Saccharomyces cerevisiae S288C: one gene and its partners. The gene in region 2 interacts genetically with the main gene of each other region. Each region holds a gene or a part of one and is shown on either strand. Other genes may lie near its edges.

Region 1 (9,313 bases), on a different chromosome or scaffold from region 2:
CGGTGTTTCCAATAATAAATGCGGGACATCCGACATAAATGGAACCAATGCCCTGAGTTTTTGCAGTTTTATATATCAATACCAGAGGATTTCTTGATGCCTTGGAGGCCTTATCAATCAGCTGCAGCCTTGTTTTGGCAAACTCAAAAGGATATGTTATACATGCTTCAGCAGCACCGGCTAGGGACCCTGCCAGAAACGAGTGCAATGGATCTACGTCACTTTTGGTAGCTTTACTGGACATCGGTAAAATGCTAATTTATAATTCAAGCTCTACTTTGGAGTTCTTTCATTGTGACATCAAAATGTTTTTAATTTTACGTTGGCTTCGACATTTTACGTTTTATATATCACGCTAAAGTGAGACTAAATTTCATTGTTCTTCTTTTTTTTTTTTTTCACTTCTAATAATTGAAAATTCCGCAGGAATTCTTCCATATTCTTGACTCTTCAGTAAGACTAACTTAATGGAAATAGAGAAAATAGTACATATTTGAAAAAAAAAAAAGAGGTGTTGAAATGATTTGAGAATATTAAATAGCTTACAAGCGTTAGCCGAGTTCCCAGACAGCAGAGTTTCTACCCTGTGCTCTTTGTTGGCGGCTTTATTGATGAGGAATATAAAAATGTAATTAGGCAAACCTACGCGCGAAAATATAAGAAGCAAAGATATAAAGTGTAGTATATTTGAATATTTACATGAACGAAACGGCGACGTATAATGGTAATCGGCTGGGAACTTCATTAAAAAGTCAAGATGTAAGTTACCTCTTAGTAAGAAGAGTTATTGCAGCAAGCTTAGTATCAATAGGGAGACTCTGTCATGTAAAAAAATAAATGAACACAATCATAACCTCTTCGACTGGGCTATTCGTTGTATAGTATATGTGGTGGAGTGTAATGAATGAAGTTCTCAGAAGCTTGAAAGCATATCAAAATCACGTATTGACTATGACAGATTCTTGTTTCTTGCTCCATTACTCCATTCGAGTTTTTCACAACTTTTGTCGTTCGTCTATAACATCTCTTTTTTTTCCCACTCTTCTAAAATATTGGCATAGCTGACATGTTTGGAACCGAATAAGCAATTACAATACGACAGTAAAATAAAAGCATGTTATTGCTGCTTGTAGAGAATTCCTGCATATGTAACTTTCTCATTCCGACGGGATAAGTTCATAAACTAATCAGCGATGAGTTGCGGAAAATTCGTCAATAGAATATTTTCCAGTCAGTGGTGGTCCCAGTGGCCTGCAACCTAATGGCTATAGTTCTGGATAATAAATTGGGCAAAGGTCAGTATAAAGAATGAATGTATCAGGCCGTAATTGAAGCTTTCAAGTCCAGGTGAAAGGCCAAATCGACAATTAGCGAAAACAGGATTTTTTTACCAACTTGAAATAGTGACTGCTGTCTTTTTGCCTGATTAAGTGGTTATATATTTCAACTAATATCACAACAAAAGGCCTCTCAAAATTTGTGGCGAAGTGTACATCCTGGGTGCTCAGGTAAGCGTCGTCTTCGTATTTTTTTTTTTTCAACAGTAGTTTGGAAATAATGCTCTTCGAGGAATGCGAGCGGAAATGTTATCCACTGTATAAGTCGATATTTTAAGGGACGCTAAATATATCATCATAGCTCGTCTATTGGTGGCTTCTCCAATTGCACTTTCAATGCATTATGGTAAAGTGTGGTGATAAGGCATAGTGATGTTTACAGAGGTCTGTTGGTTTCTCTGGGCTCGCTCATCATCCGACCAGTAACCTTGTGGGGTTTCACATATTGTTCTATGCATTATTATCACGGATTTGTGCCTGCAAATGCTGTTTCTTTGGCTTTTCTTTCTAAAAAAATTATGATATATATATTGTTCCTCCTTGTTTAACAGGCTTTACGGTATTGTGGATCCTAGTAATAGGCGTACTTTTCTTCATTTACATATTTGAACAATATATGTCTCACAAGTAGTTGACCGAATAGCGTTACGTAAGGGTCAAAAACCTTTTCAGAATTGTATATATGACATTTTTAGAACATGATATAATAAACAGAATATAAAAGAAAATAGAGACGACGTACCATGGCATGAAGAATTGTACTGATATCACATTGTGTTGAGCACTGATAGATTAATACTATATTTCTGCTAGGTGCGGGGGGTAACATGTCCTAATGTGTGGCAACCACATTCTAAGGCTCGGTAAGTGATGCGATATATGTGCATGTGTGGCTTTCTTCCTAATTTGCTATTAGATGATTGTGTGCAAATCCACAGAAATATACAATTTCGAGAATATATATACTAGTTATCGTTATAAGAACACACAGTATTGGCCAATTCTTGCCTCTGAATGGTACAAAATGCTTTAAAATGTAGTAAATGAAACATTAATTCCAAATCAGATTTTTTTTCGCAATGCTTAAATCTAGTAAACACAAAGTACTACCGAAAAGCAAGGATGGAAACTATGGCAGTATTGAAGAGACTGAAATTCCTTCTGTCGACTACAGTGAAGACTTAGATGAGGACTTGGACAAAGGCGAAGATATAGCGCTTTCAAGAATCCCAAATTGATGGATTATTGAAGCTACTCTTTTTTCTAATGTCTTTTTGTCCGGTTTTGACGGAACCGTTACAGCTTCGACGTACCAAACGATTGGTAACGAATTTAATCAGATGAGTATTTCAAATTGGATCACCACTGCGTATTTAATTACATCAACATCTTTTCAACCTCTTTATGGGTCATTTTCTGATGCACTTGGTCGAAGAAACTGCCTTTTCTTTGCTAATGGGGCTTTTACCATTGGATGTCTAGCCTGTGGTTTCTCGAAAAACATCTACATGCTTAGTTTTATGAGAGCATTGACAGGCATAGGAGGTGGTGGCTTGATCACACTTTCTACAATCGTAAATTCAGACGTTATTCCAAGTTCGAAAAGAGGAATTTTTCAAGCGTTTCAGAATTTACTTTTGGGATTTGGTGCCATATGTGGAGCGTCTTTCGGTGGCACAATAGCGTCGAGCATTGGTTGGAGGTGGTGTTTTCTCATCCAAGTACCCATATCTGTGATTAGTTCCATATTAATGAATTATTATGTACCTAATCAGAAAGAATATAATCGTCAAAATTCTAGCATATTCCAAAATCCCGGAAAAATACTCAGGGACATAGATGTTATGGGCTCAATTCTTATTATAACTGGTCTCACACTACAGCTTCTTTACCTGAGCCTGGGGTGTTCTACTTCTAAATTATCATGGACCAGCCCTTCTGTGCTACTGCTATTAGTTGGGAGTGTAATAATCCTCTTACTGTTCATATTGCACGAAAGGAAAACAAGTGCTAGAGCGATTATTCCTATGGAGCTGGTCAATTCCTCCTACAGTGTCGTTGTACTTTCGATAAGTATACTTGTTGGTTTTGCCAGCTACGCGTATCTTTTTACTTTACCATTATTCTTTCAGATTGTACTTGGAGATTCCACTGCAAAAGCAGGATTACGTCTTACGATTCCTTCCCTATTTACTCCGGTAGGCAGTCTCATAACAGGATTTTCCATGAGCAAGTACAACTGTCTAAGATTATTACTCTACATTGGTATTTCTTTGATGTTTTTGGGTAACTTTTTATTCCTGTTTATTGAAAAAACTTCTCCGAACTGGTTGATTGGTCTATTTTTGATACCTGCAAATCTAGGACAAGGTATCACTTTTCCTACGACCTTGTTTACTTTCATATTTATGTTCTCTAAGAGTGACCAAGCTACTGCGACATCAACTTTATATTTATTCCGTAGTATTGGATCTGTATGGGGTGTTGCAATTTCAGCTGGCGTCATTCAATTATCTTTCGCAGGTTTATTGCGTAGTAATTTGAAAGGTCTACTGGATGAAAACAAGATAAAGAAACTTATTGTTCAGCTTAGTGCAAACTCCTCATATATTGGATCTTTACATGGCGAAGTTAAAAACACAGTCATAAAGAGTTTTGATGAGGCAACAAAGAGGGCTCATCTAATGTCTACATTACTCTCTTCATTGGCCCTGATACTCTGCATCCTTAAAGACAATCTGGCGAAACCTAAAACAAGAAGATAAACAATATATACCTATGCCCTTGACCGACTCAATTGATACATTAACAGTATTGAAACTAGATATTCTACTTGACACTAAACTTTTTTTGTATTTCGTGGAATTGCAACGTTTCTAATTGACCGACAGTGCTGAACTGTGAGCGAATGCAACTATCTCTATAGTTTTTTTATCCTCTGTAAACTTTAACTAAATACATACTACTTTCATAATCTGTGAATAAGATGTGGCTGTGATAACCTAAAATAGTCACAAACCAATGAAAAAAGGCTTCAGAAAACTTGCTGTAAAGTCCCCCCACTTTTTTGTGTTACCGCCACCTCGAGTGCACTTTTTTTAATAAAGATCTCGTGTAATTGTCCAAATCTGACTTTTTCTTATAGTCTCGCTGGAACCACAGTGCGGCTTTGCAATTTTGCAAATCGGAATTTGAGTCACAGATCCCAGAAAAACTCCACACCTTCCCCACGCAGCAAGCGATAACGAACAAGTTGTCAAATTAGACCCATAATAATTTTGAACACTTCTACCTGTTCATGTCTTTTCTCGAACACTGTCATTTGAAATTATGCACTGTGAAAAAAAGAAACAAAGACCAAAAGAATAATATAAATAGTGAAGTAAAATGTGTTGTAATGCACATGGATCTTGTACTGCTCAAACTTAATATTTCTATTGTAGAAAAATTTTCGATTTAAAATTGTGAAACCGATTATATAAAAGTATATTAGCTGACATTAACGTCTCAAAACCAGGTCAATAGCTTTAAAAATAAAAATAAATCCCTGCAGAATACTCGGAAAGAATATGTCACGTAAGAGCTCGACTGAATATGTGCATAATCAGGAGGATGCTGATATCGAAGTATTTGAATCAGAATACCGCACATATAGGGAATCTGAGGCGGCAGAAAACAGAGACGGACTTCACAATGGTGATGAGGAAAATTGGAAGGTTAATAGTAGTAAGCAGAAATTTGGGGTAACGAAAAATGAGCTATCAGATGTCCTGTACGATTCCATTCCAGCGTATGAAGAGAGCACAGTCACTTTGAAGGAGTACTATGATCATTCTATCAAAAACAATCTAACTGCGAAATCGGCAGGAAGTTACCTCGTATCTCTTTTTCCTATTATAAAATGGTTTCCTCATTATAACTTTACGTGGGGCTATGCTGATTTAGTGGCAGGAATTACAGTTGGCTGCGTACTCGTGCCCCAATCTATGTCATACGCACAAATCGCTAGTTTATCTCCTGAATATGGTTTGTATTCCTCCTTTATTGGTGCGTTTATATATTCTTTGTTTGCCACATCGAAAGATGTTTGTATTGGTCCGGTCGCTGTAATGTCACTACAAACTGCCAAAGTCATTGCTGAAGTTCTAAAAAAATATCCCGAAGACCAGACAGAAGTTACAGCTCCTATCATTGCAACTACCCTTTGTTTGCTTTGTGGGATTGTCGCCACTGGGTTGGGTATACTGCGTTTAGGCTTTTTAGTGGAACTTATTTCTCTAAATGCTGTTGCTGGCTTCATGACCGGTTCCGCATTTAACATCATCTGGGGTCAAATTCCGGCTCTCATGGGATACAACTCATTAGTGAATACCAGAGAAGCAACGTATAAGGTTGTAATTAACACTCTGAAACATTTACCAAACACAAAGTTAGACGCCGTTTTTGGCTTGATTCCGTTGGTAATCCTCTATGTATGGAAATGGTGGTGTGGTACATTTGGTATAACTTTGGCAGATAGATATTATCGAAATCAACCAAAGGTAGCAAATAGACTGAAATCCTTCTATTTCTATGCACAAGCTATGAGAAATGCCGTCGTCATAGTAGTTTTTACTGCCATATCGTGGAGCATAACAAGAAACAAATCTTCAAAAGACCGTCCAATCAGTATTCTGGGTACAGTTCCCTCGGGCTTAAATGAGGTGGGAGTTATGAAAATCCCAGACGGTCTGCTATCTAATATGAGTTCAGAAATACCTGCTTCAATTATCGTTCTGGTGTTAGAACACATCGCTATTTCAAAATCCTTTGGTAGAATTAACGACTACAAGGTTGTCCCTGACCAAGAACTTATTGCGATTGGTGTGACAAATTTGATAGGGACATTTTTTCACTCATATCCAGCAACTGGGTCATTTTCCAGATCTGCTTTGAAAGCAAAATGTAACGTGCGCACTCCGTTTTCTGGGGTATTCACTGGCGGTTGCGTTCTATTAGCACTTTATTGTTTAACTGACGCCTTCTTTTTCATTCCTAAAGCGACACTATCGGCGGTTATTATTCATGCTGTTTCTGATTTGCTGACTTCTTACAAAACCACCTGGACCTTCTGGAAGACCAACCCGTTAGATTGTATCTCATTTATCGTTACAGTGTTCATCACAGTATTTTCATCCATTGAAAATGGTATATATTTTGCAATGTGTTGGTCATGTGCAATGTTACTATTGAAACAGGCTTTCCCTGCTGGTAAATTCCTTGGTCGTGTTGAGGTGGCAGAAGTATTGAACCCAACAGTACAAGAGGATATTGATGCTGTGATATCATCTAATGAATTACCTAATGAACTGAATAAACAGGTTAAGTCTACTGTTGAGGTTTTACCAGCCCCAGAGTATAAGTTTAGCGTAAAGTGGGTTCCGTTCGATCATGGATACTCAAGAGAATTGAATATCAATACCACAGTTCGGCCTCCTCCACCAGGTGTCATAGTCTATCGTTTGGGTGATAGCTTTACTTACGTGAACTGCTCAAGGCATTATGACATTATATTTGATCGTATTAAGGAAGAAACAAGGCGAGGCCAACTTATAACCTTAAGGAAAAAGTCAGACCGTCCATGGAATGATCCTGGTGAATGGAAAATGCCAGATTCTTTGAAATCACTATTTAAATTTAAACGTCATTCAGCAACAACGAATAGTGACCTACCGATATCGAATGGAAGCAGTAACGGAGAAACATATGAAAAGCCGCTACTGAAAGTCGTCTGCCTGGATTTTTCCCAAGTTGCTCAAGTGGATTCAACCGCTGTTCAAAGCCTGGTTGATCTGAGAAAAGCTGTGAATAGGTATGCGGATAGACAAGTCGAATTCCATTTTGCCGGAATTATATCTCCATGGATCAAAAGAAGTCTTTTGAGTGTTAAATTCGGAACTACAAATGAGGAATATAGTGACGACTCTATTATCGCTGGCCATTCTAGTTTTCACGTTGCAAAAGTTTTGAAGGATGATGTGGATTATACTGATGAAGACAGCCGTATAAGCACATCTTACAGTAACTATGAAACATTATGTGCTGCAACTGGGACAAATTTACCGTTTTTTCATATCGATATACCCGATTTTTCTAAATGGGACGTTTAGTGTAGTAGATAGTAAGTACTTTAATTACCCCCCCTGTTTTTAGTTATACATGAAAAGATAATTGTGTTATTAATGTAGATTACCATCAAATAGCTGGAATATTTATTATTTTGAGTATGTTGAATGGCGAAAGTAAAAATAAATTTTATAATTTCCTGAAAGCATTAGTACACGAAAAGGGCCGTTTTCAGTAGTTTAAGGCGCTGAAAAGACATGGTCTAGAAGTTAACTTGAGCTTGAGCCTATTTTCTACAAATGTCCTTTGAAAATACAAAAATAAAAATAAAAATGCATTTAAGTATTAAGCTTATGCTAGATAGAGCAACATTTTCCTAATTTTTTTTGAATTTATTTCATGGTTTTTAGGCGGAAAGAGTTTGGACGGCTTGTCTCTCCTAATGTGGAAGAAATTATGTTTTGTTATGAATCTGAAAAGAAAAATACTATTTTAGCAATACAATGAATTTTAAAAAGTTACCCTGTACTTTAATCCTTCAATTAAAACACTTCTTAAAATAGTATATTTTGAAGATCATCGATATATATACAGAGGCAGTTTTGCAAGGCAGATAACGTTATTGAGTTGTATGTAGGCTGTGTGATTTTAATCTCATAAATCAATAATGGAATAATTTTCTTATTGTTAATATCGATTTATATTTTCCAACAATACAATGAAGTAAGTACTATTTCTATTTGGAAGGAATTCATTCCCCATTTTAGCTCCTCGAGCGGATGAATCCATCACTGTTTTGAAGAAAACCAACAAAGTGTCAAATAGTTGTCTTTTTGAAATTGGTTCTGAAGAGTTTTCGGAAAATGATCTGATAACAGGCCTTTCTAAAAATATAAGGTTGAACGAATGTATGGGTTAGGTAATCAAAATTTAGGCGCCAACAAGGAATTTTTCTTTAAAATCGCATGAAAAGCCTACACTTGGCATAAATAAGGTGCAATTATAAATATAAAAGCAAGATATTTTCGAGATGCTTCCAGGATTTATACAATGAAAGAGCCCAAAGCTGCTGATAACGATGAAGCCGGAAAAACTCTTCTCCGGTTTAGGTACCAGCGATGGCGAGTATGGAGTGGTAAATAGCGAGAACATATCAATAGATGCTATGCAAGATAATAGAGGCGAGTGTCATCGTAGATCCATAGAAATGCATGCTAATGACAATCTGGGATTGGTCTCCCAGCGAGACTGTACCAATCGGCCCAAAATTACTCCTCAGGAATGTTTGAGTGAGACTGAGCAGATATGCCATCATGGCGAGAATAGGACTAAGGCTGGGTTAGATGTAGACGATGCTGAAACCGGTGGTGATCACACCAATGAATCCCGTGTAGATGAATGTTGTGCTGAGAAAGTGAACGACACTGAGACTGGCTTGGATGTGGACAGCTGTTGCGGCGATGCTCAAACAGGTGGTGACCACACCAATGAATCCTGTGTTGATGGATGCTGCGTTAGAGATTCTTCAGTGATGGTCGAGGAAGTTACAGGCAGCTGCGAAGCTGTATCTTCTAAAGAACAATTGCTGACCAGCTTTGAAGTTGTTCCAAGCAAATCTGAAGGTCTGCAATCTATTCATGATATTAGAGAGACAACTCGCTGCAATACCAATTCCAACCAACACACAGGGAAGGGTAGGCTTTGCATCGAATCAAGTGACTCTACACTCAAGAAAAGAAGTTGTAAAGTTAGCAGACAGAAAATTGAGGTTTCCAGTAAGCCTGAGTGCTGCAACATTTCATGTGTTGAGCGGATTGCATCTCGTAGCTGTGAAAAGAGGACTTTTAAAGGTAGCACCAATGTTGGAATTT
Region 2 (7,932 bases):
TGGTACACTTTTTAAAGGTTTACATGAAGTTTACCATGCCTCTTCTTTTTTTTTATGTCTTGCTTGTAACGCAGTTGTAATTACTTGCTGTTATATCTCGAGCTTCCACCTATATTGCTTTCAACACAAAGAACCTTTTGACGGTCTTGGGCTAGCTCCTATTTTTGGACCCTTGCCCATCACAGAACTATGAGAAAAGCAGTACGTCTTGACTTTAGTGCATGCTGTACATCCTAGACTGTAACTGATTCTTCACAGACCTTGCCACATAAAACTACAGATATCCCCGTTTTCTTGGTTTACGGTTGGCATACCTTCAAAATATTAACAGTCAACTATTAAACGAATGATGCCCTACCTTATTTACATTCTTTATATATATATATATATAGCATTAGTTTACAAATACCGTACATGCCATTCACCTTGACACACCCATAACGGTAATTCAAATCAAATCGTCATCGTTTGGGCGGAATCATATCCTCAAATTCTTGACATTGCATAGCGTAGTATATATGGTATTAAGAAAGCTCGTACAGCATAAGATATCAGGTTCTTTCTTTGAACATTATCGAACGCTGTTAGCCTCTTGTAGTATTTCCCCATTGGGCTAAACGGCAATGTCCTTATCGTAGTTAGAATATGGAAAAATTACATAATTTCGAAACTGGAAATGATGCTAGATAAAAGTGGAAGATTACTAAGCGTAGTATATTAGCCGGAAAGAATTCATATATAGTCATGAAGACATTTTGAAAAAATTACATTTATAGAAGTTTATTATAACGTAACAGTTAACAACAAAGGCTCATAGTCCGAGATCAATATAATAAATTATTCAAGGTTTAAGGAAGAAGTTACCATGGAAATGACTTACTATGAAAAGACACCTTTGATTCGTCAATTTTTGAACAATGGTAAGACAAATTCGTGGTTTTACGTTAAGCATGAGATGTTACAACCAGGTGGAAGTTTCAAATCGAGAGGAATCGGGCATTTGATAAGGAAGAGTAATGAAGAAGCGCTAAGCGAGGGTTCTGGGAAGCTTGCTGTATTTTCTAGCTCTGGGGGAAATGCTGGTTTAGCAGCAGCAACTGCCTGCAGATCGATGGCACTTAATTGCAGTGTAGTGGTTCCTAAAACTACAAAACCTAGAATGGTAAAGAAAATTCAAAGTGCAGGAGCCAAAGTCATTATCCATGGTGATCATTGGGGGGAAGCAGATGAATACTTGAGGCACGAATGAATGGCGCAAGAAAGCCAACATGGTTCGAAGACACTATATGTGCACCCGTTTGATAACGAGACAATTTGGGAAGGTCATTCTACGATTGTGGATGAAATCATAGAACAATTGAAGGAAAATGATATATCCTTACCTAGGGTGAAAGCTTTGGTTTGTAGTGTTGGTGGTGGTGGGCTATTTAGTGGCATAATTAAAGGCCTAGATAGGAATCAGCTTGCTGAAAAAATTCCGGTCGTTGCTGTAGAAACTGCCGGTTGTGACGTATTGAATAAGTCTCTCAAAAAAGGTAGTCCAGTTACTCTTGAAAAATTGACAAGTGTTGCAACTTCTTTGGCCTCCCCATACATAGCATCATTCGCGTTTGAGAGTTTTAACAAGTATGGATGTAAGTCTGTAGTTTTATCAGATCAAGACGTTCTGGCAACATGCTTGAGATATGCCGATGACTACAATTTTATAGTGGAACCAGCCTGTGGAGCATCCTTACATTTATGTTATCATCCAGAGATTCTTGAAGACATTCTGGAACAAAAAATATATGAGGATGATATCGTTATTATAATCGCATGCGGTGGATCATGTATGACGTATGAAGACTTGGTGAAAGCGTCGAGCACATTAAACGTATCATAATTTTCAAATACACACGCGATCTTAGAGCAATAGAAATGGATCGCGATCTATCTATGTACGTTCGGACTTATTAAGATGTGTTTCATTTTTTTTCGTTCTAGTCTTTTTATTGGATGGTGGTCTGGAAATTCAATCTACTGATACTACAGTATTAAAGCAATTAAGCACCTAGGATGAAGCTCCTGCAAGTAGCTTGGTAGATGAGAAATGTTAAGCGGATAGTAACGCTGAAGCTATGCTATGCCATAATAATTTATAAAAAAATCAATAAAAAAGAGTGTATATTGATATTACTAATATGTAGAAGAAAGAATTAACTAGTATAATTCGGAGAGTAGTAAAGAAAATTTTATTTACATATGAATGTAGAAATTAATTCTACGATTCACGCGGAATATTGTGAAATCTTGAGATAAGAAAGTTGCAAGAGATCACAAATGAAGGTTATCTGCAAACAGCATAAACAGATGACACCTTATGAATGTAAGGTAACATCGGTAGCTTAGCGCGTTGACCTGTGAGCTCCTACATAGAATATTTGTGTGCTTGGGGATTATTTGAGAAGCATTAGGCTGGTTCAGAGGAATATTTACAATTGGTCATTGTATTTTGATATCAATTACCGAAGATTTTGGTGTTATTATGTTCAAAAACTTTTTTTTGTTTCCGTGAACACACAATTGCTGTCACCTGCTTTTGTGGTATAGCAGTGCAAAACTACTAAAAAGCAATAACATCCCATGACCTTTACCTTAAAAACTCGAAAAAAAAAAGTTTTTGCATTAACCTTTTGTTGCTCTGGTGTAATAATTTTTTTTGATGTATGACTTCTCGCTTTTGCGTGTAGCATTACTCTAACAGCAAAAATTTTAATACACGAAAACTTAATCTAGTGAATAAACCTATAATCAAGACGCTTCATTCCCTTATCTTTAGTTGTGTCCAAGTAATTGATCTGCTCTTCTTTTGTCATAGAGTTCCATTTGCGGTCCTTGTATTTATTCCTACTAATATAGTAAAACTTAGTAGCAACAGCCATACAAATGTTGAAGCAAGTGAATCCTAGAAGTATTTTGTTACCTCTAGTATAGTAAGGTTTATCATCATTTCTATACATGTTAGAAGCAATGATTGCTCCAACTTGGGCACTCATATTGTATAACGCTGTGCCCACTGTACGCGATCTTACCGAATTTGAAATCTCGGAGACCCAACCAGCAAGAATGGAATGTGTATAGGGAAGACCAAGTATACCGGTTAGTAATATATACTTGATCCAGGGGTTTGTGTCAGTCGGTAAAGCGACCAGAGAAACTATGAAAGGGAGCACCCAAACGTTGGCAATTCCCACACAAAGTGATTTTTCTTTCAATTTACGCGATAATAGTGCCGCTAATGGTAAATTTATTAGCAGCAGGGCTTGGCCTGGAATTGCTAAAATGTTCGAAAGAAATGTAGAGTAATTTAAACTCTTTAATATCAAAGATAAATAGGAACCAACTGTTTGAAGAGATATGAATGCTGTAATACCTTGGATAAACAATGGCCATAGATCAAATTCTGTTAGAGTGTACAAAATCTCCTTGAAGGTAACTGGTTGTCGGTTACTCATGTCACCCTTTGATGGGTCATCCCTTAAAATTCTGTTAACCATAATTTTCTCCTCATACTCAGTGAATAACGATTTTCCTTTGTGAAATGCAGACTCACCAGTTTGCGTAGGTCCTCTACGCATTAAATAAAAGGATGCCACGCCAACAGAAAGGGACAGAAACCCTTCAATTATAAATAGGTACTGCCAGCCAGCTAAGTTATGAATACCCCTCATCTCTATGATTCCGGAAGCTAAAAGAGAGCCTAAAATTTGGAAAAGAGGTATAGCACACCAAAAGAAACTTAGGCGGAATGTGAGCTCAGCTCCAGTATAATAATATGACAAGTATAGAATATTGTCCGGGATGAACCCGCCCTGTACCATTCCTAATAAGCATCTAGTAGCAATAAATTGACCTCGATTTTTCAGACCAGCTTGAGTAATACAAATTACACTCCACAACACAATTTGAACCGGAATGACCCTTTCTGGACCAAATCTTTTGGACAGCAGATTGCCGGGTAGTTCACTTGCTAGAAATATAACTAGATAAACAGTTTGGCCAAGGTTGTAGTCGTTCGTGTTCATTTTCAAGTCAACAATGAAGTTGTCTGAAACTGCCCTTGCAATATTTTTCCTTATTAAATCCAAAAAGGCAAACATAATAAAAACCCACAAAAAAATCTTCAAGTCCATTTTTCTTACCAATTTCTTTTCCTCATCCTTTGTCCATGTAAACTCAGGATCGAATTTAGACAAGCCTTCATAACCACTGGATTCATAGACTTTTCTCCAACGCTCTGCTTTATGAAAATCGTCAAATGGGTTATGTGAAATACTCTCCGAATCTGATGTTAAGCTTTCTGCGGACACAGATAATTGGGCCTTTTCTACAATATCGTATTCTTCTTTTTGTACGGACATAGATGAAACTTTGTTTGTTGATTGAATTTTTTATTAATTGTTTGTACAATAAATAATTTCAATAATCAACAATTGAACGCTGCCTTTTTATACTAAATGATTCAGTAGAAGACGAACCTAGCGCAGGGAATACGTCATGTATTTGATAGTAAGCGCCAAACCTATTAGGCAATAAAGTGTGACAAATTGGTAGCATTGATAGTTATTCCCAATTGACCCATAGGCTGTTGAAATGAAACCATCAGTATATGTTGAAACCTCAAGTGAGGCGTCAACCTCTAAGTGAGGCTTCAAGCTTCGCCAACTATTATATATGCCACATGACTGCAGGGTCCTTATTTTAAGGAGCTAGCTGCAACGACTTTGTGCTGTAAAGGGGTGCAGCAGCAAATGTAGCCTATTTGCTCGAGGTTTTTCTTTCTTACGAGAATGCTAGCAATTCAAGATAGTACGTTGTAATATGATGCATTTCGGCACAATTATCCGAGAAACGGACTATTTCGGGATTATATCGATCCGAAATTCTCTGCGTCGAGCCGAATGCCAAGGAAAAAAGTTCAGAGAATGACTACAAACAGCCTTGGCGACGGCAAAAGTAAGCTTGGTAAGAATGGCTTGATCCACACGGTGATTCTTGTATCGGGTCAATGCATAATTTTGATTGTGAAAGGCGCAATTATTAAGGCTGCATTCTTTAGCTTGTCTTGACTCCTACCCGTCATCGTACAATCTCCACATTAAAAAATATCACGACATTTATAAATCTTCTTCACACCGGATTAAACAAAAAAACTGTGTTAATCGGATCCGGGAGAAAATGCTAATATCTCCTTCTTGTTTGTGAAATGATGATAACTGGGCTGTTGAACGAAAATGAAACTTCTCAAATACACCTATTTATTAATAAATGTTAATTTATATTTTAAAAAAAGGTAAAAATTAAATGATCAGGTTTGCGATCCTGATTTCAAAATCATGGCTTGGATTATATCTTAGAGACGTATGGATTTCAAACAAATGCCTATTTGATTGAATATTACAGATCTACATTATCTCTTGTACATAAAACATTATATAACAGACATATTGATATTAACGAATATTTTCGAGCCACCATTCATGAAAGCCTAGTTAATGGATTTATGCGGTATTCATTTCGTAAACTTGACATCGTGTGACCTTTCATTGACAGTCAACTGGAAGACATCTCCCCTAGCATAATGTCCGACAGGGTCAAGATCAAAGCGAGCTTCAGCAATCAAGTCAGTGTTAATTTCGGCGGTTAAAAGGCCCTCCTGCCCTAGCAATGGCCCTGCAATAATCTCTCCATAAGGATCAATAATAACACTACCTCCATTAATACAGTTGTCGTCAGCAGATGGCCATCCAGGTAATTTTCTCTTACCTGTAGCTTGGTCAATAATCTCCCCAAAGCCCATTGCTGTCGCATCTGGCATGAACTGCACTGCACTAATCAAGAATAGACGACCTTCGTATGCAATATTTTTCATCACAGTCCTCTAAATAGGCCTAGCATCCACCGTTGGGGCACACCAGATCTCAACCCCTTTTTTATACATGGCGTATCTCAGTAGAGGCATCATGTTCTCCCAGCAGATAGCACCGCCAATCTTCCCAGCAGCGGTATCCACGACAGGCAGAGTCGAACCATCGCCTTGACCCCATATCAGTCTTTCGCCAGCTGTCGGCATCAGTTTTCGATGCTTCCCAACGTAGCCATCTTTAGGATCTATATAAACCATGGTACAATATAATGTCGTCCCATCGCGCTCTATACACCCCACACATAAGGATGCGTCGGTGGCCTTCGATAGTGCGCACAACTGACTAATTTCTGGATATTTCTCTCCGTTTCCGATCTCAATTGCTTCGGCAAGATACTTAGCATACTCCTCCCTTCCTTCTTGAAGACGGTAGCCTAGATAAACCCCAAAGTTCGATCCCTTTGGATAACCACCAAGAGTGGCTTCTGGGATAACGACCAACTTGGCACCAGATTCCTTGATCTCCTTCTCATATGACAAAATTTTTTTCAAGGTATCCTTAGTAGAGCCCGGACAAGAGCCGATTTGAAGGGCAGCAACAATGTGTTTCGCCATTGTGGTTAACTAGAGGTAGCCTCGAAAAGTGATTGGCTAACCCTAAGTCATAATATCACCCTTTCTTATTGAAGAGCTTTTATTATTTATATACACTGCCCTTTATGAGTCACGGAGGCCTGGGCTCCATTTTTTTTACGAAGCAAAAAAGATAGCTCATATTTCGTAAGCATTAGGCCAACTTTACTGATAACCGTTTTCAAATCGCGGTGGGATTAATATAATGTGGCGTTCATAGTGAAATGTGGCTCCAAAGTATAAGCGTAAATGCGTTTGCTTATCGAACCGCAAGTAACTTGTAATTTCACCTCTATAATTTCGAGCGGTTTTTAAGATACACCATGTTTCAAGTAACCACCTTTCGCCTTTTTCCTCTGTTATCGAACTTCCATCTGTAAAAAGTTCGCTTGCAGAAGAAAAAAGGCACTACACGGAAGAGGACTGATAATTAATGAAAATCAAGCTATGATCAAACAACTACTGGCTCTAATATATGGTTTCGGCTACATAATCTAATTGTCATATCTGTTATCTCGACACTCGTCTCTCGATAAACGAGTTCTTCACTGTTGCTAGGTGCAGTGGTCGGCCATAGTTATCCATACAAAATTCCAATTTCTTACGCGCATAGCAGTCGATACATGCAAACATCTCGACTATTCTGGCGATAGCAGTACCAACAATCACCAGCACAAATTTTGTCACCTGTGCTTTGCTAGAGTTACTTCAGTACTAATTAGATTATAATATTTTGCAGCATTTATTGGTATAGAAAGAAAAGCTCGAGCACTACCAACTTTTATCTGATATACCGAAAAATGCATAAATATCTTCTCTAGTTTGTGCGTTTTCTTGTCGCCCTACCTCACAAAAGAGAAGTACTGATGGCTAATAATTGTTGGATCGATTCATTGTATCTCTTAAATGTCAACAGAGCATAAGTCAGACTCTTTGCCATTTTTAAAAAGCTGCGAAGGCGAACGTGACTACGGGGTGCGGGTTTTTGTATTGCTAATGTAGCATGACAGCTTATCCAATGTTTTGTTGTGTTCATTCAAACTATTTTGAGCCTCACTTCAATTTTGTTTGACTACTAACATGGCAGCATGCGTCGTTTCTAGGTGCTAGCCAGGCTGTGAGAACGTAAAATTAGCCTATGTTCAACATTCTCTGCTTTTCAATGTCACTGTTCATTTTGTTACTATGAAAGTAGTTCGTCGCAATTTGTACTTTTCTTCGAAAGTCTTCTTTTGCAGTAGATGAAGTGTGTTCTGAGAAATTGATGCTTTCAAATGGCCTTAAAAAATTTTTGTATCATAGCTAACAACATACTGTTGCGCCAGGGGAAGTGAAATCATGGTTGTATATTACAATAGCATTATGTGCATTTACCAAGTATGGAAAAGCGGAAA
Region 3 (8,950 bases), on a different chromosome or scaffold from region 2:
AACGTGTGACTAGTATGAACAACTAGAGTAAAATAGCGAGAAAGCAGTAGTAGTAACGGAAGAGCTTTTCCTAGTATGGTCCGCGGGTCACGATCGTTTACAAAGGGCGCAGCAAACTCTAAATACGTCAACCACAGCAGGTCAGAAGAGTACGTGAAGTTGTCTCAACGAAAGGTCGAAAATCGTTAGGCTTGGACCCCTTCAGAATGAAAAAAAAAAAAGACGCAAGAGTGAAAAAAAAACCAGTACTGTAAAAGCAGAAAACGTCTAATGGGAAGTGCTACTATGTAAGATTATATCATGAATGTGCTGTGTATTATATATGGATTATATAGCCACGAATATGCGGTAAATAAACATATGCATATATGTGTGTGGGGCAGCGCTCTGCTGTGCAATCCTTGTTTCTTTGTTTCTTGGGTCGGGATTTGAGTAGCGACGAGCCATCCTCTGCAGAAGGGAAGAAGAAAGAAAGGCAGAGAGGCAAAGAAAGAGTCAGGCTTATCTTATCTTAAGAGATATGCCGCTTGGACCCAAAAGAAAGGGAAAAGTAAGTACGCAGGTGTAGTTTTGAATGAGTGGCAGTGATAGAGGAGACCGGTTATACGATGTGTTGGGGGTGACGAGAGATGCGACCGTGCAAGAGATTAAAACTGCTTACAGAAAGCTTGCCCTGAAACATCATCCGGACAAGTATGTGGATCAAGACTCAAAGGAGGTAAATGAAATCAAATTCAAAGAGATCACTGCCGCTTACGAGATCTTGAGCGATCCGGAGAAGAAATCACATTACGACTTGTATGGTGATGATAATGGTGCCGCTAGCAGCGGTGGCGCTAATGGCTTTGGAGATGAAGATTTTATGAACTTCTTTAACAATTTCTTCAATAATGGAAGTCACGATGGAAATAATTTCCCTGGCGAGTATGATGCGTACGAAGAGGGCAACTCTACAAGCTCTAAGGATATCGATATCGATATATCTCTTACTTTGAAGGATTTGTACATGGGCAAGAAGCTGAAGTTTGATTTAAAGAGACAGGTCATCTGTATAAAGTGCCACGGTTCTGGCTGGAAACCAAAGAGGAAAATTCACGTTACACACGATGTGGAATGTGAATCATGCGCTGGAAAGGGTTCAAAGGAACGTCTGAAGAGGTTTGGTCCCGGTTTGGTAGCTTCGCAATGGGTGGTCTGTGAGAAATGTAATGGTAAGGGGAAGTACACTAAAAGACCCAAGAATCCAAAGAACTTTTGCCCCGATTGCGCAGGCTTGGGGCTCCTGTCAAAGAAGGAAATCATCACAGTGAACGTGGCTCCGGGACACCACTTTAACGACGTAATTACAGTCAAGGGGATGGCGGACGAGGAAATCGATAAGACCACATGTGGTGATTTAAAGTTCCATCTCACTGAAAAACAAGAAAACTTGGAGCAGAAGCAAATCTTTTTGAAGAACTTTGACGACGGCGCCGGGGAAGATTTGTATACAAGCATTACCATATCGTTAAGCGAGGCCTTGACGGGATTTGAGAAATTTTTGACAAAAACCTTCGACGACAGGTTACTAACATTGAGCGTTAAACCTGGCAGAGTAGTAAGACCTGGTGACACCATCAAAATCGCCAATGAAGGTTGGCCCATTTTAGATAACCCTCATGGCCGGTGCGGCGATCTGTATGTTTTCGTTCATATTGAATTTCCACCAGATAACTGGTTCAATGAAAAATCAGAACTACTAGCAATAAAAACGAATCTGCCGTCATCTTCATCTTGTGCCTCACATGCGACTGTAAATACTGAAGATGACAGCAACCTGACTAACAACGAAACTATATCAAATTTCCGGATCATTCACACGGACGATCTTCCAGAAGGGATAAGGCCGTTCAAGCCAGAAGCACAGGATTCAGCGCATCAGAAAGCAAGAAGTTCGTACTGCTGTATCCAATGATGGCATCAATAACTTTTTATTCTATTTTTTTTTTTTTTTCATAAGTTATCCTACCTGTATATATGTATATATATGAAATTCATTTACTGAATGCGGTGAAGAATGAAGTCTTTCGCACCTTCAGTAGAAAAATAGGAAGAATCCCCATCGCGGCGGACATAAAGCAAGCATACAAAGGCCTTCTATCAGAACAGCGATTGCGAACTTGGAGCAACAATGGCGTCCCAGGTTAACGCCTTATTACTGCCGGTCATAGAGTCTACGCCGCTTCATCAAATAACCAAGGTAGCATTGACGACCACACTCACAAGTAAACAAAGCGATTACAAGTTCAAAGAAATAGCCGTGCCGTTAACAAAATCACTACAACTGTACGAGAAGGCGCAAAGAAGACAAGATTTAAGGGCAAGCTTAAAAGCACTGGAGAGTATCATTTACCAAACGCACTTCCAATGGAATAACCCGCTCCCACGACATGCGCATCTCTTCCAAAAACACTACCACTTTCTACTGACTCACTGGCCATTTGAGAACCACAGAGACTTGGTAGATTCCATCGCTGTAAACAATGGGAAACTAAATTCAACGTCTTCAAGGAGCGTCTGGCTGAAGGCGGATTGGATAACACTGTTTAACGTTAAAAACCCTTGGGTCCAAACGCCGCCATCGTTAATGCGTCTGAGTGGGACAGATCTTGATACCTTCACACCAGAGAGGATATTCCTGATAAATTCTCTTGGAAACCACTACAAATTTTTAATAGCGAACAGTCATCTAAGCTACAATCACAAAAAATACCCCTCCCCTGGCGTGCAAATTCCTGTCAGGAACGCTCTTGGCGAAGTTTCTCCGGCCAAACAAATTGCCCAACTTTTCGCAAGACAGCTGTCTCATATTTACAAGAGCCTCTTCATAGAAAACCCCCCGCTCTCTCCTGAGAACGAGCTGGCATTGACTGCCGTCTTCTATGACGAGACTGTAGAGCGACGCCTTAGAAGGCTCTATATGCGAGCTTGTGCAAGGGCATATACGACTACTAATGCCGACTCCACCACGGAGCCTTTGATGTTTCATTGCACCCGGTGGGAAGTTGATTAGTTGTTGTTGGCTGTTATACTGGAGTAAATGTCACGTGCCACTGTGGCCGTGTCAGGTCACGTGAAGAGAGAAATTCGGCCACAGTTGTGGTCCTAAACAAGGACTGAAAAAGATCGCAGAAACTAGCAACGTCGGATAGCGGTATGGTTGAACCAAAGTCCAGTTTTTAGTCATAGCCGGTTGAGGGATGATCTGCCGTTCAGTGTTCTGCGTTCAATAATACGCATATATATATATATCAAGGTATCAACACAATACTTGAACAGGTTAGGCTCGTACTAAAGCCTGGAAGTTTTTATCTTTCTGTAACATTTTTCTTTCTTGAGGTGTGTGTGTGTATAGATTAGCAGGGAATTATCTAAGATATGTCCAGGGAAGGTTATCCAAACTTTGAAGAGGTAGAAATTCCTGACTTTCAGGAAACTAACAACACCGTTCCAGATCTTGATGATTTAGAATTAGAGTATGACCAATATAAAAATAATGAAAATAATGACACGTTTAATGATAAGGACTTAGAGAGCAATTCTGTAGCAAAGCACAACGCAGTGAACAGCTCAAAGGGCGTAAAAGGCTCGAAGATTGACTACTTTAATCCTTCAGATGTCTCGTTGTATGACAATTCCGTTTCCCAATTTGAAGAAACAACGGTATCGCTAAAAGAGTACTATGACCACAGTATACGATCTCATCTCACGGTGAAAGGAGCATGTAGTTATCTTAAGAGTGTTTTTCCCATCATCAACTGGCTACCACATTACAATTTTAGCTGGTTTACTGCGGATCTTATTGCAGGAATTACCATTGGCTGTGTTCTCGTGCCGCAATCCATGTCATATGCACAAGTCGCCACGCTACCAGCGCAGTATGGGTTGTACTCCTCGTTTATTGGTGCTTACTCCTACTCTTTTTTCGCTACATCAAAAGATGTTTGTATTGGGCCCGTGGCTGTCATGTCTTTGCAGACCGCCAAAGTCATTGCGGATGTCACGGCAAAATATCCTGATGGAGATTCTGCCATAACTGGTCCCGTTATTGCAACGACTCTAGCGTTACTATGTGGTATCATTTCGGCAGCAGTTGGCTTCTTGCGTCTAGGGTTTCTTGTCGAACTGATTTCCTTAAATGCAGTCGCTGGATTTATGACTGGATCCGCGTTTAATATCTTATGGGGTCAAGTTCCAGCACTAATGGGTTACAATAGTTTGGTTAACACGAGAGCTGCCACCTATAAAGTGGTCATAGAGACCTTGAAACATTTACCAGATACCAAACTGGACGCAGTTTTTGGGCTAATCCCGCTTTTCCTTCTTTATGTTTGGAAATGGTGGTGCGGAACATATGGACCAAGGTTGAACGATAGATACAACTCCAAAAACCCAAGGTTACACAAAATTATCAAATGGACATATTTTTACGCTCAGGCTTCCAGAAATGGTATCATTATTATTGTATTCACTTGTATTGGTTGGGCAATCACAAGAGGCAAATCTAAATCGGAGAGGCCCATCAGCATCCTAGGCTCAGTTCCATCCGGTTTGAAAGAAGTCGGGGTTTTCCATGTTCCACCAGGATTAATGTCTAAGCTTGGTCCAAATTTGCCTGCATCCATTATTGTGTTATTGTTGGAGCATATCGCTATTTCGAAGTCTTTTGGTAGAATCAACGACTATAAAGTCGTCCCCGACCAAGAATTGATTGCTATTGGTGTCTCGAACCTTTTAGGTACTTTCTTCAATGCTTACCCAGCGACTGGTTCCTTTTCAAGGTCTGCTTTGAAGGCTAAATGTAATGTCCGTACGCCGTTATCTGGTTTGTTTTCGGGTTCATGTGTTCTTTTAGCATTATATTGTTTGACCGGCGCATTCTTTTACATTCCAAAGGCTACCTTATCTGCAGTTATCATTCACGCTGTATCTGATCTTTTGGCCTCTTATCAAACTACCTGGAATTTCTGGAAGATGAATCCATTGGACTTCATCTGTTTCATTGTCACCGTCCTAATAACGGTATTTGCCTCTATTGAAGATGGTATTTATTTTGCCATGTGCTGGTCATGTGCAATGCTCATTTTAAAAGTGGCTTTCCCAGCGGGAAAATTCTTGGGTCGTGTGGAAGTCGCTGAAGTTACTGATGCTTACGTCAGACCGGACTCCGATGTGGTTAGCTACGTGTCTGAAAATAACAATGGTATTTCCACTTTAGAAGATGGTGGTGAGGATGACAAGGAAAGTTCCACCAAATACGTCACAAATTCCTCCAAGAAAATAGAAACAAACGTTCAAACAAAGGGCTTTGATTCTCCATCTTCTTCGATTAGCCAGCCAAGGATAAAATACCATACTAAATGGATACCGTTTGATCATAAATACACAAGAGAATTGAACCCGGACGTTCAGATTCTCCCCCCACCAGACGGTGTTCTTGTTTATAGGCTATCAGAGAGCTACACCTATCTCAACTGTTCCAGACACTACAACATCATAACCGAAGAAGTTAAAAAAGTTACCAGACGTGGTCAATTAATTCGCCACAGAAAAAAATCTGACCGTCCATGGAATGATCCTGGTCCATGGGAAGCACCTGCTTTCTTAAAGAATTTGAAATTCTGGAAGAAAAGGGAGAACGACCCTGAATCCATGGAAAACGCGCCCAGCACCTCAGTCGATGTTGAAAGAGATGACAGGCCATTGCTGAAAATACTATGCTTAGACTTCTCACAAGTGGCACAGACAGACGCTACGGCTCTTCAATCATTGGTTGATTTGAGAAAGGCCATAAATCAATATGCAGATAGGCAAGTTGAATTCCACTTTGTGGGTATCATTTCACCATGGGTGAAGAGAGGTTTAATTAGCAGAGGATTTGGTACTCTGAACGAAGAATACAGTGATGAATCCATTGTTGCCGGTCATACAAGTTATCACGTCGCCAGAGTACCTCAAGGCGAAGAAAATCCTGAAAAATATAGCGTTTATACCGCTTCAGGAACAAATCTACCTTTCTTCCATATCGATATCCCAGATTTTGCTAAATGGGATATCTAGCCAATGCATTTACAATGGACATGCAAACATTTATATCATCTCTTTTTTTCTATATTCCTAAACCAAAAAGTTTTCCCCCTTAAAAGTATACATTTAATATCATAATGAGATAGACACTGTTTATATAATAAGAAATAATAGGTAGGATGGTGCCATCGTGAGCATATACATACCTATAAATATTTACCTTATTTTTATTTTATTTTTCTCTTCCTCTCAGGAACAAAAGAAATACAACCGTTATTAATGTTATTGTCGTGGGACAGCTCCCCTTTTTTTTTATTTACTTACCACAGATAGAAAAACATGAAAGCAGCACTTACAAATAGTATAATAGTGAAAGTTAATAACGTAATATTTTTGACCTTCTGCCACCACATTATTTCTTTTATATTGACCGCTTTGCGCCTAAATTTATTACTGCTGCTATTTAGTTGGGAAGTTTTATCCACCAATAAAGAAACTCTTTCTTGTCTCTCCAAGAACTTGTCGATGTTATCGTTCATTATCTGGATGACGTCCTTTATTTGGTCTTCGGTGGCATCCCCGATGTCACTTATAGTGTTCTGACCATTCCCATTACTAGATTGGCCATTTCCAGAACTATTTAAAGTTTGGTTACGGTATTCGACCAGCTCTTCATGGAAAGAGTCTAGTATTTGACCTACATGCGAACTTAAAAGTTCGTTTGTAGCGTTGGACTCGTATTCCTGCAGCCCACTTAGTATCCTGATGGGCAAAATCTTGGGCATATCTACTAATGTGAAGCAAACGTACACAGTTTTGGGGTCATGGTCATCCGTGGAGTAGAAACAATCGAATCCGTCGATGAGATTCATTGACATCTTGGTAACTTTGTTCCCCTTGATCGGAACTACTTTGGGTAATACCATATCCATGATCAAATTATGGAAAATGACCGGCGTTATCTGCTCGTTTGCTGAAGTTATTGTACCATAGTTTTCGTTTTTCTGGAACGGCTGGAAACAACTAGATATTGTTTCACCATTTTTTATAACTTCCACATAACTTACTAAGACCATATGCAAAATCAAGCAAAATGGAACGTTAGTCTACTGAATGTAACATAGTAAAATTATGGCATGGGGGGATGAGCATTCGCATAATCCCTTTTTTAAACATTTGTTAATTGTGTAGAAATATTTATACATACCATTAAAGCGTTTCATTTGGTAAAAATATAAAAGTCCAATGCTCTAACAGCTTAATAAATTGTCGCTTTTCACTCTGTTCTTCAAATTTAATAGCTGTTGCTCCAACTTAGTCAAGTGCTAGAAAATTCATAGAGGGGCTTTTTTTCATCATTATTGTGACCTCATTTTTTCTTTCTTCGATCGTTTGAGGCGAATATTACCCGGGCGCTTGGTGGTAATGCGTTGTTTTAAATATTATATATAATGAATGTGGTGGTAGAATATATAGTTTACTATTTTTAGATAATGCAAATGGGTGGGGTGAAGGCGATGAAAAGGTGGGGGGTCTATCAGAGAAACCTGCTGTCACACCAGCCCTTTACGACATATTGAATCTCTCTCGTAGGTGCGGAAGTCTTATTGGTGACTTTGCCTAAATTTAGTTTTCCGCATGGTTTGAGCATTGTGCCGCCATTGTTGAACCATGGCTTGACGTCTGAGTGTACGCGGACCAAAGAACTTTTCAAATCCGCCGTTGCATGTTCGCTTGCGGATTCACGGCCTTGCGAAGGTTCCGTATTGCTTGTCGTTGCAACAAAGTGCAAATTCCAGGGGGTAGAATCGCCAAAAAGATCATTTCTTGTTTCATGGACCATGTCAGACCATAATTTTTTCCTAGTAATTAGGGCAAGCTTAATATCGTTCGTAGAGACATTTGGCTCCTTTTTGATTTCCAAAGACCGAATTTCGGAATACGTTAGCTGCTTCAACAGATGGTCATCTACTTCGACTTCGGGTAAAATACTCTTCCTTTTACATGATGTTTCAATAGAGTATAACTTTAGGAAATTGGTATTCAAACTTTTTTGTCTTATTCTTTTATTGGGCAAGAGCTCGCTAGATGCAATCGAACCGTCGGTCTCGGGCGATGGTGATGCAGATGGCCATTGTTCTAATTCTACCAGGTCATTTTCGTAAATCATGTTTTCTGTAGTCGATTTGCTCCTACTCTTCCTTCTTGAAGTCTTGCCGCCTTTCTTGTCGATGATTTGGAAGTCCACAGAGGTCGGACGAAGTTTGGCATCGGACGACGCAGAAACCAGTGAAAGGGCAGAGGACGATCGCGGACGCCGTTCGTATACGGGAGGAAAGATATCGACTAAATCCTTAACCTCCCAGTCGTCGAACAAATCGAGATCATTTATGTTTATTATTTTCATTTTGGGCACGACCGGCTCAGCCAGTACCTCATCGCCAATCGCGGGGGTCTGCAAATCGACAGCGTCAGCAATATCATCTGTCAAGGGATGAAGTTTAGAGGAGCTCAATGAAGAACAGTCGCTTTGAGCTTCCTCGGAGAACTTCCTCTTTATGCTCTGTGTTAAGTGGCCCTCATGTATGGGGCATTCGCCCGATAACGTCTTGGCGGAATTTGTTTTCCTAACTTGCGACATGACCGAGCTTAAGGACGGGGTCATCAAAGATGAGCGATTTTCGTTCAGCAGTTCGGAATCGTCTCGAGCCTTCAGTATTCTAGTCCTCTTGAAGCTATTCCTCTTGGTTAGTGTTCTAGTACGTTCAGCGCTTCCTTGACCATCGAACTGCGGCTTAGTGGAGTGGAAATAAATCTCATCGCTCACCGTCCTATTACTTGTGGCGGTCTTGTTCATGCTGGCGCTGGCTAACTTGTTATTCTT
Region 4 (7,475 bases), on a different chromosome or scaffold from region 2:
AAATTCTCCAGAGGATAGAGAACTGGCTAAGGTTTTGTCCCCACCGGGTAGTTATCTTTCTCCAGCTTCACTAGACAGTGGTTCATCGTTCACAAATAGTGGGACTTCAACTAGTTGCTTTGAACCAAAAAACAATCTACCCTCCTTATCGTTTTTAAATGCTAGAGCGGGATCTTTAGGTGGCATTTTTAATCATAAACAGATGACCTCGCCGTCAAATTCGAATATAGGAGGCGAAAATGTAGAATCGACCACAAGTAGTAATGACGGCAGTAATGAAAATGCAGGTCATCCCACTACTTCAGAGCAAGATCAAAATGCAGATCACCCCACTATTTCACAGGCAGATGATAATGGACACTCATCGTTGACCCCTAATCCTGCTGTAACTTCAACTGTTACGGATAAGAAGGGAAATACAGTAAAACGGAAGTACTCCAGAAATGGGTGCTCCGAGTGTAAGAGACGAAGAATGAAATGTGATGAAACTAAACCGACTTGTTGGCAGTGCGCAAGATTGAATCGTCAGTGCGTTTACGTTTTAAACCCAAAAAATAAGAAAAGAAGAACCTCAAATGCTCAAAGAGTAAAAGAATTTAGGAAGCACAGTACTAGCCTCGATAATGATCATAATAATGCTCGCAAGCGTCAGCATTCGTCATGCAAGGCTGAGAAGAAGAAAAAAGTACGACAAAATTTAAGTGAAGACACCACGGACCCTAAACCGATTACAGATAACGGCAAGAATGTACCTTTGGATGAAATAGAATCCCTAGAGATTCCAAATTTGGACCTTACCACCACAATGAATGGATATGACGTTAATTTACTAATGCAGAACTTGAATGATATGGTTAATATGAAACTTCATGACTCTTACTTATTGAATGAAGAACTGAAAGGATTAGATTTGCCCGATTTGGACATACCTGAACTTTTGCCCGCTTCGAATGTGAACAGTAGCGTACCAATATCCTTTCTGGTGAATAATGTAATAACTTTCAACACAAAACTAAGCTCGTTCAAACTAGGTGGAATCCACGATAAGTATCTAAAGATATTTTACTACGATTGCTTAGATTCTATTGCGCCCTTTTTCCAAAATCAAGGGAACCCGTTAAGAGATATCTTACTTTCATTTGCGAAAAACGAGGCCTATCTTTTATCTTCCATATTAGCTACGGGAGCATCTATAGCATATAGAAAGTCTAATAACTTGGAAGATGAACGAAACTATTGTGCTTATTTGTCACATTGCCTGAGCCTGTTGGGTGAACAATTCAAGAATGAGTCAAACGTTTTAAATAGGATAGAGCCTATCATCCTGACGGTCATCATGCTTGCATGGGATTGTATTTATTCAATGAATTCTCAATGGAGGTCTCACTTAAAAGGTGTAACTGACCTTTTTAAAAAAATCAATGCCGGGAATTCCTCCAAAGTACTTAACGTTGCAAAATGTTGGTTTAAAGTTATGGAAACATTCGCCAGTATAAGTACGGTATTTGGCGGATCTTTAATTGATAATAATGACCTTGATGCAATTTTTGATCCATATGATTACCAATATGTTGACTCGTTAAAATTTTTAAATATTATGACTCCACTAAATGAGTTTAATCTTTTAAGAGGACATAAAGAAGATTTCGATCTTGTTATTAAAGAAGTTTTCAAATCACTCAATACAATTAGGTCAACTGAAAAAAATTACTTTTCTAAAGAAGAAGGTTTGTTCACTAAGAAATTAGACTATCTGCTTTTATCATCCCAAACTTCGTCCGAAAAGTCCAAAGACCAGATATCATATTTCAATACGCAGAAAATTCTAGTGGAAATTGACAAGCAATTAGATTACGAATTTATTGACAAATCTGGAATTATACCCTCAGACAATCAGTCACACCCTAGAATTAGTAATATTCATGATAATGCCATCGATATGGTGACATTAAAGAACGGTGAAGAAGTTGCCATCAGCTGGTATGATATTTCTCATCAGACACAAGTTTTATCTTTCTTATTAATTGTATTATTAAAACTTTTAGGTATGCCAAAAGAGTCAAGTACCATTCAACAAGTGGTCAAGAAAATCATGTCTTTCTTCAAATTCTTAGACAGTGACTCGCCGCCACAAAATTCAAGGACTTGTTATAGTAATTTTGCTGTATTGATTGCAGGTTTGAATGCAATGGACGAGGAAACAAGAGCGATTGTTAAAAGATATTATAAAATCAATGGTGGAAAATTTCAAAAGCTCACAGAACATAATCTTAACAGACTGGAAAAGGTCTGGTATGGTAAAAATCAAAATTACAGGTTAGAAGAACAAGACGTTTTAACATGGTAGTTTGTCTGTTTACGTAATAATTTTGCCTGTAGATTGATATAAAATTGTGTACGGATAATTGCACTGGCACGTCAAAAGTCCGAGAACTATTTTTCTCGAGAATGCCGCGCAAAGCAGGCACCGTGCCTTTATCTTTCTTTTTTTTCCTCCAGCACTAAACCTTCCATAACAATACTATTAGAAAGGTTGTTATCAAATATTAAAATAACTATTAAAGTGATACAAATATATATATAGATGACGATGGGCATAAAAAAGCTCGTTTCTAATCATCAACTATACGTTTCTTGATCAAAATGCACTGAGCAAAATATTGTTATGAAAACATACTTGCTTGACGAAATGGATTAAATGGATCCATTAAATTAAAAAATGAGTCTAGAATTGCACTTTATGATAGAAAATAAAAATTCGACAAGAAATGGTGATAATTTAACGAACGAAAATATTGAAACGTCAGGAAAATAAAATAAAATATGATAAAAGTTGAAGATGGAGTAAAATAATCTTGTCAAATAATCAATAAAGACAGTTTTATCCATTTATAGGATTGGCTTGAAGTAGAAAATTCTTCAAAGATGATTGAAAGAAAGAAGAAAGTAGCACATAATTGACATGACGATTGGCTTATTCTTCAGACTTCTTAGACTTCTTAGATTTCTTGCTCTTCTTAGACTTCTTTTTCTTGTCCTTACTCAAGTTTGGTGTAGCAGCAGGTCTTGGACTAGCAACTGGAGCTTTTGGAGCCATCACTGCTTCGGCATCACTAGGTCCGAAATGGTAGCCCAATTTGTCAGCACCGAAGTGGTTAGCAATTGGAACCAATAAAGTTGGAATGAAACACATCAAAATAAGATCAATGATACCATAGAAAATACCGGCAGAGTCTGGCTGCAAAACGTTACCACCATCGGTAATACCGAAACAAGTTGGGTAAGCAATAATCCACAAGAACATAATAATGCTGAAGAAAACAAGGAATGTCAACCTGATATCGTTATCTCTTTGTTTCACCAAGTTGTAACTGGTGGTCATAACACTGATACTAACGACAATAGCAGCACCTAGACCGATGGTGTAGTAACCCCATTTGTAAGTGGAGTGAACACAGGCAGCGATCAACCAACAAACAGTGAAGAATTCAGTAATACAAACATTGAAAGCCATTTGCCAGAATGGGGTACCAGCTAGCATACAGATTTGAATAATTGGCCATGGCAAAGCTAAGAACCAACCAACGAATCTAGAGTAGAAGATTTGTCTGTAACCTGGATGTTCTTTTTGAGTAGAAGTTTGGACATGGTTGTACTTAGCCTTGACTGGAATCCAACCTAAGTTAGAAGCCATGGTGAAATAAGCGATACACATGAAAAAGTTTGGAGCAATACCGGTAAGGTAAAAGAATCTGTCATTGACTGGTTTTCTGAACATTAAGAATGTTAAAATTAAACCAAATAATAGGTAACAACAGAAACATGTCCAGAACCAATCGGAACCACGACTAGTGATGTGGAAATCCGCACCGGTTGGAGGGTTAATTTTGATGGCTTCGTTACCACCTCTTTTAATTAAAGTTTCAAAGGTAGACATTGTTATTTTTCTTCTTTGTTCTGTGGGTTAAAGGAAGATGATTAGATATTAAGTGAAATTAGGTATTAGTTAAAATTAAAGCAAAAAATTAATGTTAAAATAGGGTCAAAAAATTGGATGTAGAGAAAGAAAAAGTTATTGAAATAATAATATTTTTGTTCGAGGAAACTTTTTTTTTTTCTGAGTTTCTTTTATTATTCTTTTTCTTCGCAATGTTTCTTAACAATAAGGACAAAAGATAGTGACAACGATCTAAGAATTAAAATAAGCTTAATAATAAATAAAAAGAAGAACTTGAAAAGGGAAAAAGAAGAAATAACGAGAAGTGGGAAAGAAATAAGGATATATCTTAAGTTACCGAAAAAGACACTACTTATAAATGAAGAAACCAGGTGAAGAGATCCTTTGTTTTACGAAGACCGTATTTATACATTTCCCTTCATGTACATGTGTGATAAATTGGAAAACCACTTCTGGAATTAAACTGCTTTTTCTGACATCCTTGTGCAGTCGTTACTGCGATTATTTACATCTTTACTGATTCGTATGAGTGTTTATTTCCATTTTGCCTTTTTTGTCCAGGAAAACTAGAGATGCCGATTTTCGGTTAACAAAAAAAGTCCTGGTGAGGGAAAAAAAACGCTATTTTTTTTGCTCACCGCACTAAGAACTAGCCGGAGAAGACTAAGCTAGGAAAGGGATGGAACAGATGACGACGAAGAAGATTAAGTAAAAAAGGTAAAGGGAGACGAGATGGTGACAAGTATCTCTTTTTTTTATTGCCTTTTTCATATTACCTATTACCGCAAACTGATATATTTCTCAAAGGAGAAATAGTAAAGTGGAAGAGGTTTGGGTCTCTTGGTAACCGGACTACATTTGCAAGTTGCATCTTCCATCGAAGTATTAATTCCCTCCATCCTCTTCTCACTAACACCGGCACGATTTTAAAAATTTTTCAACTCCGTTGTTGAATTACGTATTCCTCTTTATGGTAAGCGCTAAGATGAACAGCGCTGAAAAGCAAAATTTGAATGCTTGAAATTCAGAACATGACTATTCGTTCAGTACTCGCTTCATTTGCATCCTTAGTTAATTTGGCCTGAATTACTTTTTGAATTCAAGAGATAGTGCATAAAATGCGGCCCCCCTTTCCAGCTTCCATAAATTGCGCTGATTGCATGTCTGACTAAGCTTTTTTTTTTTTTTAAGCGACCTTGTCTCGAGGAGCATAATAAAAAAAAGGGAGTAAGGTCGGCGGCAGTCGCTTTTATTAAACTGAAGTAAAACAGAACAAAAATTACTTAAGGGTCGCTAATATTACCCTTATCCTCTCAACAAAAGATAAGAAATTAATTGACCTATACCTATAATACCTAATAAACCCAAAAGTGTCTTGCTCTGATGTATTTGTTTTTTTTAACACAACCTTGCTACCTTAGGCCATCGAGAAGAGATTGAGGTCAAAGTGGAAGCGTTGGAAAAGAAGGAAGACCCATAGTATAATGAAGCTAGTTACCATCCTTAGACGACGCCCATATTTTTCAATTTCTCTTATTTTTTTTTTACGCAGCGTAGCAGTTATGGACAAAAGCCGGCCTGAAACAAGATTGAGATTAAATGAAAGGGCGTCTGCTTGTATATGAACTCAGTCGTCCACTCTTTTTAAAGTACTCTACTTATATAAAAAAAAAAGATAGGGATTTACAATGTTAATTATTACACGCAGCATCTAGCGTATGATTGTATGTCCCGAATGCCCCGTTATTACCCAATAAAGCAAATTAATACGGTCTTTTTATAAAGCTGTGCTTCTTTTTCGGGGTAGTTTTTCCGTGAAACCCGTAGATGGGAACAAGAAGAGCAAAAAACCCTTTTTTTTAAATAATCCGAGAGTTTGACAACTTGTAAAAAAAAGCGCAAATGTCGGCGCGCCAAGTTGAAAAGTCGCTCAGAGAAATGAGAGGTAATACCGCGTTCCCAAAACAAATAAACAAACAGAGCAGCCAATCTGCGTGGAAAGTAAACCAAAAAAGCAGAATCACTTGAATCAGGCGGTTTTCTTCGCTTACTCTATACGGAGCCTAAATGCAAAAAAATAGATATTTTGTACTATTCTAAATCGGAGGCCTTCTCTGTGTTCTCAATTTTTTGTAAAGGCATTGAAATATGAAAACAAAATTAGGTGTATGAGCATGAGCACATCGAAGTAATTTAGATTTCTTTATTAATTATGCATGTAGTACACATTACCGCTAACCTTACATCTGCATAAGATCTTGCATCTTCAATAAAAACTCTTTCGCCTTGACTGGAGCATTCAAAATTAAGCGCCTTTTGCTCGCTTCGCAGATTTCTACAATTGAGATAGCATTGCTGTGAGCGCCCTTGCGTGAATCTATATCGTGAAAGAGAAGATATTATGACAAAAAATTGAATGATTTTGCGGGGCCATACCAAAATCCTTTCATGAAACAAGAGTTATTCTTTTAAAAGAAAGCGAACTATGCTATTTATCTTTACGTGTTACATCCAAAATCATTGCCGTAATTTTGTAGGAAGCGCAAAGTGTGTGATTAAAGCATTTGCTATTCTTTTAATTTCCCTTTCCTCTTTTGTTTTGTTTTTTTATATTTTTGCCTATATTCTTCTTTTTCTTTTTCTGTCTTGGGACGAAAGACAACAAAAAAAACCACCAGTAGCAAGAAATAAAAGAAGAGCCACTTAAATCGAGATAATATCTAAATACAACTTTTTATCATGGCAAGAAGAAGGAATATTTCTTGCAAAAACGTGAAAAGGAGTATACTACATAATCGTTGGACTGTCATACTCCGGATGTAGTTTTTACTATTTTGATTATCAGTAATATATCTCCTTTTAAATGATAATTATATATATATATATATATATGTACTACTAATAATGACAGTGTGACCTGGGTGGTTCGAAACATCTAGCGTAACTTAATAGTTATTGGCTGCCACCTCTTTGGCCTTGGAAACAGAGGGACTCATGCGTTTTGATGAGTGTCCAACTTATTAAGGTGCGTGCGCCTGGCTTGTTTCCCTGGATAACATTATGGACTTAAATCGTTTTACTTGTGGCTTTTGCGACGCTGACTGATTCATTATTAATTTTTCCTATTGCCGCTCATTGCGATCGCTTACCCGTCTCTTGACTGTCTTAGTAAAAAATTAATAATTCTGCGGGGCTGCACCTGCGCAGTGTATTGGCAAGCCTTGGCTTCGTTAGCAACCCCTTTCCCACAATTGAGTACAGTTACTCTCTGGACAACAATAAAATATATATAAACGTCAACGAGCGGCAAAACGATCAATGCATTTGGCCTTATTCTTTTTACTGTTTTTCTCATATAATTAAATATCGTCGAATAATATATTCAATAAATCATCACCACTCTCTAGTTAAAAGAATCCAATTATATACAATGCCAAGAGTAGCTATCATCATTTACACACTATATGGTCACGTTGCTGCCACCGCAGAGGCAGAAAAGAAGGGAATTGAAGCCGCT

The links.
Region 1: mutations in SOA1 (region 2) and SUL1 impair growth when combined (synthetic growth defect), as found in Saccharomyces cerevisiae (one study listed by BioGRID).
Region 3: mutations in SOA1 (region 2) and SUL2 impair growth when combined (synthetic growth defect), as found in Saccharomyces cerevisiae (one study listed by BioGRID).
Region 4: mutations in SOA1 (region 2) and MRH1 together harm fitness more than expected from each alone (negative genetic interaction), as found in Saccharomyces cerevisiae (2 studies listed by BioGRID).

Annotation. Positions count from the first base shown.
Region 1 is NC_001134.8:784,329-793,641, forward strand, and holds SUL1 (sulfate permease), read left to right. Parts: upstream 1-4,906; coding exon 4,907-7,486; downstream 7,487-9,313. Other genes in the region: CTP1 (Ctp1p), read right to left, coding at 1-244; YBR292C (uncharacterized protein), read right to left, coding at 374-745; VBA2 (Vba2p), read left to right, coding at 2,678-4,102; cation-transporting P-type ATPase PCA1, read left to right, coding at 8,521-9,313. UniProt on the Saccharomyces cerevisiae protein: High affinity uptake of sulfate into the cell.
Region 2 is NC_001141.2:28,167-36,098, forward strand, and holds SOA1 (Soa1p), read right to left. Parts: upstream 4,401-7,932; coding exon 2,772-4,400; downstream 1-2,771. Other genes in the region: YIL165C (uncharacterized protein), read right to left, coding at 5,552-5,911; NIT1 (Nit1p), read right to left, coding at 5,921-6,520.
Region 3 is NC_001144.5:320,127-329,076, forward strand, and holds SUL2 (sulfate permease), read left to right. Parts: upstream 1-3,417; coding exon 3,418-6,099; downstream 6,100-8,950. Other genes in the region: XDJ1 (Xdj1p), read left to right, coding at 575-1,954; GEP5 (Gep5p), read left to right, coding at 2,171-3,052; NYV1 (Nyv1p), read right to left, coding at 6,387-7,132, 7,274-7,289; GIS3 (Gis3p), read right to left, coding at 7,604-8,950. UniProt on the Saccharomyces cerevisiae protein: High affinity uptake of sulfate into the cell.
Region 4 is NC_001136.10:504,609-512,083, reverse strand, and holds MRH1 (Mrh1p), read right to left. Parts: upstream 3,938-7,475; coding exon 2,975-3,937; downstream 1-2,974. Other genes in the region: LYS14 (Lys14p), read left to right, coding at 1-2,347; PST2 (flavodoxin-like fold family protein), read left to right, coding at 7,389-7,475.